Mus musculus: one gene and its partner. The protein of the gene in region 1 purifies or fractionates together with the protein of each later gene. This does not show direct contact. Links are inferred from orthologs where the notes say so. Each region holds a gene or a part of one and is shown in the gene's direction. Other genes may lie near its edges.

The links.
Region 2: the proteins of Osbpl11 (region 1) and Vapa purify together in Homo sapiens (co-immunoprecipitation; 4 studies listed by BioGRID and IntAct, counting the BioPlex papers as one, with this or other methods). This does not show direct contact. The link is inferred for Mus musculus from reciprocal best matches to the Homo sapiens genes OSBPL11 and VAPA.

What each region holds. Positions count from the first base shown.
Region 1 is NC_000082.6:33,222,769-33,226,590, forward strand, and holds part of Osbpl11 (oxysterol-binding protein-related protein 11), read left to right. Parts: intron 1-1,771; coding exon 1,772-1,912; intron 1,913-3,822. UniProt on the Homo sapiens protein: Plays a role in regulating ADIPOQ and FABP4 levels in differentiating adipocytes and is also involved in regulation of adipocyte triglyceride storage. Weakly binds 25-hydroxycholesterol. Interacts with OSBPL9 to function as lipid transfer proteins.
Region 2 is NC_000083.6:65,592,751-65,596,572, reverse strand, and holds part of Vapa (vesicle-associated membrane protein-associated protein A), read left to right. Parts: intron 1-1,518; coding exon 1,519-1,671; intron 1,672-3,029; coding exon 3,030-3,133; intron 3,134-3,822. UniProt on the Homo sapiens protein: Endoplasmic reticulum (ER)-anchored protein that mediates the formation of contact sites between the ER and endosomes via interaction with FFAT motif-containing proteins such as STARD3 or WDR44.

The sequences.
Region 1 (3,822 bases):
AAGTGAGTTTCCAGGCCAGCCTAGGTATGTACAAAATAAGACCCTGGCTAAATAAATAAATAAATAAATGCCAGGGGCATTAAGGACCTGGCTCCTTCAGCCGATTCTGTTGTGCAAGTATGAGCGTCTGAGTTTGGGTTTCCCAGCAGCCTTGTGAAATCCAGGGGCAGTGGCGTCTTTAACTGCAGTGTGGGGAGCAGGGGTAGGGAGACAGAGACAGGCAGATACCTGGAGCGCACTGACAAGCTAGCCTAGATGAATCTGTGAACTCCGCTCATTGAGAGAGCTAGTCTAAAAAATAAATGAAAGGCAATACAGGAAGAGCTCTGACATCGCCTGTGGCCTTCACGTGTGTGCACACAGTCAGAGGCACAATAGGTACTCACCTGTACGATTATGTAGGAAGCAGACGCAAGAGGATCAGGAGTTCAGAGACAAGTTCAAGTCCAGCCTGGGCCATTTCAAAACACTTCTAAACAAACAAAAGTTACCAAGTATTAATAGGCATGTAGCCTGGGCTGTAGAGTGGAGCTCTCCTCCATCATCTCAAAAACCCAAAGACCATAAACCCTAGCAATAAATATGCAATTGTGTGAGCAGTCATTAGGAACTGGTGATATGGAAGTACACATTTTCAATTTCTAGGTGTTATTGATTACAATACAGAATGCTTTTGGTGGCACTGTGACTGCCTGAGAAGGTAGAGTTTTTACGCATATCTAGGGTCTCTCTTCAATCACAGATCTTCTCAGGCACAACTGAATAGCAAAATACAGTTCACAGTGGTTAGACTTGACGTGGTGTGCATTCACCTTTAAATTTTACTTTATGGCTTTAGCTTAAACAAGCACACATATTTCATCCTTAGATCCCTTGAATTTTGGGTTGGAGAAATGGCATAGCAGTTAAGAGGGCATACTGCTCTTAAAGAGGACCTGAGTGTGGGTCTCCGGTTGGGTGGTTACAACCCCACATTCAGGGAATCGATGGACTCAGGCCTTTCCTTGCACCTGCACACTCACAGTCGCATCAACAGACACACTGACTGCCTGCCTCCCTCCCTCCCTCCCTCTTTCTTTTTCTTTTTCTCTTTCACACACACACACACACACACACACACACACACACAAATTTTTTTTTCAATTAATAAAAAGCAAAACCTGAATTTATCAAGACTTGGTGGCTTATGCCTGTACTCCCAAGACTTGGGAGGCTGAGTTCAAGGCCAGCTTGCCTTATATGGTGAGAGACTTTGTCTCAAAACAAACAAAAAACACTTAATATTGTAGATGTGGTGATTCCCAGGTCTGGGTCAAAGATAAATTTATTCAGGGGACATTTCTGGCTCTTTTTGAAAAATATTGTTCCTGAAAAATAAGTATATTTTAGCTGGGCATGTCAACATACTTCTCTGGTCTCAGTACCTAGAAAGCTAGACAGGAGAACTGGCACAAGTTTGAGGTCTGGGTTACGTGGTGAAGGCAGGGTTAACCAGGGTTACACAGAAAGATGATGTCTCAAGCCAAACAAAGAGTAAACAGAAACACATGTTACATATGTCACAGGACTACCGTCTGCTAATCCCAGAGTTATGGTCTCCCCAAAGGGAATTTATTTCTTGGCTTAATGATGGGATTTGTATTTTCAGCAGGGTTTTGCCTACCCTCTGACTATTTAGACTCAGTATAAATGTCTCCAAGGCTGACTTGTTTTTCTCAGTAGGCGTTAATGAGTACCTTTAATAGTGGACTCTGCTTTCTCCCACATCAAGGAACCTGAAGACATCAATGCAGATGATGAGGTAGAGGACACCTGTGACAACAAGGAGGATGACCTGGGGGCCGTGGAGGAGCAGCGCAGTGTCATCCTGCACCTTCTGTCACAGCTCAAGCTGGGCATGGACTTAACCAGAGTAAGTGACAGGTCAGCGCCTGGGAGGCCAGGGCTCTGTACCTCAAGCCTCAGACTGACAGGAGACAGCCCCGTGGGGAGCTTCATGGCTGCCATCCTTGCACAGGTGAAACCAAGGCAGGAAGATGGCCAGCCTGAGCTACTTAGGAGACATCTGTCATAAATAACCTGAGATTTGGGTTCCATGGAAAGCTGTAAATGTAGAGGTGAAAGATTGTTTTCCATACATACCTGTCAGGGCACTTTAAACAGAAAGCCTTTTGTCTTTAGAATTGACTCTACATCACTGAAAAGTCAAAACTGTTCTTTGTTCATTTGTTTGTCTGGGGGGTGTTGTGCTTGGTTGGTTTTAGTTTTTTAACTTAGACTTGCACACTTGATAGGAGCCTTTTCTTTTGAACCTGTGTGTGTCTATATGATGTGTGTGGTGCTACAGGCAAGCGTCCGTTCTTTCCTTCCAGCATACTTTAGAGGGGTCAAACTCAGGTGGCCAGGCTTGCAGTGCGACACTGCAGGACACACTGTCAAGAGAGCTGCTTACTAAAGTTTTCATGAGCAGTGAAGAGGTCCTTACCTACAGCTTTTTGTTTTGTTTGATTAAGACAGTGTCTGTTTGTGTAGCCCTGTATCTCAGTTTGCTCCTCTGTTGCTGTGATAAAACAATGACCAAAACTAACTTGGAGAAGAGTTTATTTCCGATTACAGCTCATAGTCTGTCATGAAGATAAGTTGAGACGGAAACCTGCAGAGGGGAACTGGAGCCCAGGCTGTGGGGGAGTGCTGCTTACTGCTTATTCCTCGTGGCTAGCTTAGCCTGCCTTCCTATACCATCCAGGATCACCTGCCCAGGGATGGTACCTCCCACAATGGTCTAGGCCCTCCTAAATCAATCACTAATCAAGAAAATCCCCTATAGACTTGCCTACAGGCCAATCAAATAGAGGCATTTTCTCCATTGAGGTTCTTTCTTCCCAAATGATCCTGGCTTGTGTCCAGTTTATAAAAACGAACTAGCAGGACTGGTGAGATGGCTCAGTGGGTAAGAGCACCCGACTGCTCTTCCAAAGGTCCAGAGTTCAAATCCCAGCAACCACATGGTGTCTCACAACCATCTGTAACAAGAACTGACTCCCTCTTCTGGTGTGTCTGAAGACAGCTACAGTGTACTTACATATAATAAATAAATCTTTAAAAAAAAAAAAAAAACGAACTAGCACATACTGGCTGGCTCACGTTTGAAGGAATGCTGCCTCATGCTCACGAGTGCCTTGATTGTAGGTGTGTGCTGCCATGCTCAGCTTCGCACAATTTATCTTTTTTTGTTGTTGTTGTTGTTTTGTTTTTGTTTTTCGAGACAGGGTTTCTCTGTATAGCCCTGGCTGTCCTAGAACTCACTTTGTAGACCAGGCTGGCCTCGAACTCAGAAATCCACCTGCCTCTGCCTCCCAAGTGCTGGGATTAAAGGCGTGTGCCACCACGCCTGGCACAATTTATCTTTAAAGAGAAAAGGGGGTGTGGGCTGGAGTGAATGCCCGAGCAGTAAAGAGTGGGTACCGTTCTTGCACATGACTTCCGTTTGGTTCCCAGAACCCTCGTTAGGCAGCTTAAACCCATCTTTAATTCAGGGGACATGAAACCCTGCTCTGGCTTCCACTGGGCTTCCACTTGCCTGTACAATATAGACATAGAGTTAAAAAAATAAAATTAAATCTTTAAATAAAAAAGAAAGGAGAAGAAAAGATAAAAAAGAAAAAAAAAAAAGAAAGGAGAAGAAACCATGTTTTATCTAATAGTTTGGTAGTGTGCTATGTGTTGATATATTCACGCACCCTGGAATCTGAGAGCCTTAGGAAGAGGGTCAGACACAGCCCCGGAACAGTCCTTGCTGCTCTGGAACTCACGTCAGTCCTT
Region 2 (3,822 bases), on another chromosome or scaffold:
CTGACACCATCTATTGATCAGAAACCAACAATTGGGTAGCAGCAAAGAGTATAAGATCGCCTACAGAAGAAAGGAGTGGCATAAAATGAAACAGGCACTCCAAGTAAAAGCTTATTTCTCAAGGCTTGAACTAAGTTTTAAATTTTCCCACTTTTGTGAAATTGTTTTTTTTCTCATGTTAGGCATTAGGCACATTTAGTCTGTCTTTAAAAAGTCTTTGTCTCAGACAGTTTACCAACACTCAAAGTTTATTGTACATGGTTGGTGAATTTTCTAAATCTAGATTTCAAAGTATGACTGTTGCAAAGTTTTAAAAAACATAGTCTTTGTTTATGACTCAAACAGGTTAGAAGGTGACTCTGGTTCAGGGAGCTTGCAGCCAAGCTTGAAAATAGTTCAATCCCTTGAACCCACATGGTAGGAAAGCATTGATCCTGATGATGCTGTGCATGTAGACATACAGTCTAAGTGACAAATAAGGGAATGAAAAAGGCTAGATAAAAATAGGAAGGCTTTTATAATGTCTTTTCCTTCAGGCTTCTTGACTTTTCCCTCCCTTTTTGGTGCTGGTGGTTGAATGTGGGACTGTAGCCATGCTCCAGTAGTCTTCTTAGTGCTCTAGTTAAGATCATCAATATCACTCCTTTGACAAATAAAAAGCAAAAGCATAAAATAGATGTTTAAAAGGCCATTTAAAACCATTAAACAAGAAAACCATTACAAGACCATTAAAACAATTAAAATGCCTTCAAAATCAACAAGAAATTCTTGCTGTGAAACTTAGACTGTATAATCTGTTTTGGCTTTTCAGATGAAACCAAATAAGTTTATCTTCACATCTCACAGCCCGTTTTAAAAACAAAACAAAAAACTGAGGATATACTGGTTAAGTAGAGCTGGGTCAGCTTTTTGAATTCGTTTTGTTGAGTACAGAATTAAAGCTTTAAGACAAGACTTCGTATTTAGATAGAGCATATGACATACCACTCATAAGTACTTAATACACGTGCATGAATGAATTGAGACAAGTGAGTACTGTCAGGTTTTAGTTTTGTAGTTGGCCTGTGAACGTAAAGATTAGCACTGGTGAAGACCACTGGGGGACTTGTGTCAGTCATGTGATGTGTTATGAACATGCTATATGAGTACAGTTTGGCTGACAAGATGGCTCATTGGATGGAGATCCTTGTTGCTAAGCCTGAGGACTGGAGTTGGATTTTTGGACCCCACATAACGAAAGGAGGGCACCAGTTGTAAAAAGTTGTCTTCTGATCTCCACATACGTACTGTGACATGTACATGTTCATATGTGCAACACAAACATGATAAATGTAACCAAAATTAAAGAACAAAAATCATAGTTATTTTATGGATGAAATCATCAAAAGTTGAAAAAAAAGAGAGACAATTTTTGTTTTCTTTAGAAAAGTGGGATTGAGATTATATTAACTTAATCTTGAATTATGCTTTTGTTGTGACTCCAGTTAATCTTTTCTCTGTCTGCCCCTTACCTTTCAGGCCCCTTCACAGATGTAGTCACTACAAATCTTAAATTGCAAAATCCATCGGATAGAAAAGTGTGTTTCAAAGTGAAGACTACAGCACCTCGCCGGTACTGTGTGCGGCCCAACAGTGGGATTATTGACCCGGGGTCAATTGTGACTGTTTCAGGTAGTACTCCATGTCCTAGACCTTTGTAGGTTTGAATATTGACATTTCATGACTGTTGCATTTGATGTTTAGTGTTTTTATCTGTTTATTATTTGGCTTCAGTGTTTGTGTAAAGATGTTCCTTGGGTATCTTACCGTACAGACATTTTATTGAACCTTTCCTCCTCGAGACTTACGTGGGAGTGTATGATTGCCTAGGGTCAATTTGAAATGTTATCTATTCTGTATTTCCACAGCTTTCCACTGTAGCTTGTGTTCTTATTTATCTTTGAAATGGCACTGTTTTGTGATTAAATCATGTTCTGTGCATCTACAGAAGCGTTTGAGTCTTAAAAAAAAAATGCCTGTTTTGGGCCTACTTTTAAAATCAGATGAGTTTTTATTCCTTTCAGTGTAAATGACAACAGTGTCTTGTTCCTTGTTTATTGCTTACAGTAGTTCCTTCCATACACATCACGTATTCCTGCTGTGAGATCTACTGTGCTATCCAAATGTTCCTTTCTTAGACAGCCTTTCCAAGGAGACAGTACTTTGTAACACGTGCCATAGGTGGCAGGTCTGACAGCATGTGTGGCTCCATGAGACTTTAACTTGTGGGAAAACCTCTCTGTGCTCACACAGACTTACTCCTTTTTTTTTTTTTTTAAAAAAAAACAAAACAAAAAAAACAATAGCTTTCAACTCCTGCATTTGTTAATTACAAAAGGCTCAGGAAAAATGGATTATGTCATTACAGATCATGGAGTTAGAAATGTGTGTATTAAAATTCTTGGTGACCTGATAACTTAGGTGATCCCTAAATTTTAAGATAACTACAGCTTTTATTTTCAAGTTTATAGAATATTAAAATAGTAAGTTATTTAAGGCTCAGTGAGACTGTTTAGAAGTAGAACCTGACTGTAAATGTATCCAATATACATTAGTAATTACTGATTTGTTTATCACCTCATCTTGGATTTACGTAACATAAATTGAACTGGAGCCTTAAAACTTGGTACAGGCAACTCAGGTCTGGAGACGTAAAAGTGAATGCTATTGGGATCTGGGAATAAAGTCTAAAGACCAATCAGTTATCCTTTGTTTTCTTAAAATTAGATTTAAACAAATGAACACATTCTGAGTAATTGTTTAAAATCCAGTTTAAAAATAAGTTATATTAAAAGTGTCTAAGTTATCTAAATTAAAATCAACACAAAATGAATTTAATAATAATTGAAAGTTAAAAGGCTGCTTGTGCCTCTTGAGGATAATTTAAGTTTTTGAACCCATCTTGGTATGCATTAAGTTTGTGTGTTAGTGTGGTGGTATTAAATAGGACGTAAACTGTAGATGACAGTGTGCTTTCTCTGTTTATTTAGTAATGCTGCAACCCTTTGATTATGATCCGAATGAAAAGAGTAAACATAAGTTCATGGTACAGACAATTTTTGCTCCACCAAACATTTCAGATATGGAAGCTGTGGTAAGTGTAGAAGTTGTACAGAAGTTATTTTTGGAAATGTAGTTTAAACTTTGTTTAGCTCTCAACAATCCATATTTCCTTGCCAAAAATTAAATATCAGAACAAAATTAAAATTTAAACAATTAAAAGGTTTTGTTTTTTGATATATATTTTTTTCCAAGGCATGATTCGGCTTGTTCTGGAACTTTGTAGACCAGGCTGGCTTTGAACCTACAGAGATCCTCTTGCCTCTGCCTCTTCCATTGCTGGGATTGAAGGTGTGCTCCACTCACCATGCCTGAAATACTGTTCTTTAGAAACCATTTAGACATGCTAAAGTGGAGAAGACAGTCGTGTGGATTGCTTGCTGATGCTGTTGTCACGTTTTTCATCACATTGTTTTATTGTGGTGTCAGAGATAGCTTGGTGGGGCTGGCCTTCCATTCTACTGCATAGTATGGTTTCTAGGATGAAAGTCAGGCCACCAGTGTGGCAGCGGTGCCTTTCCCTGCCGAGCCCGGTGTCCATGAAAGCTTTAATTAATGGTGATGGTAGGTCTGCAGTGACATTGGTACATGATTGTAGGCAGTCTGCAGTCAACTCAGGCTTCAGTTGTCCCTGAAGGTTTCAGGTGAAGCCTCCTTGCCACGGTGCTCTCTCTCTTTTCATCTTTGAATTTTTGTTTTTTGGATTTTTTTTTGTTTGTTTGT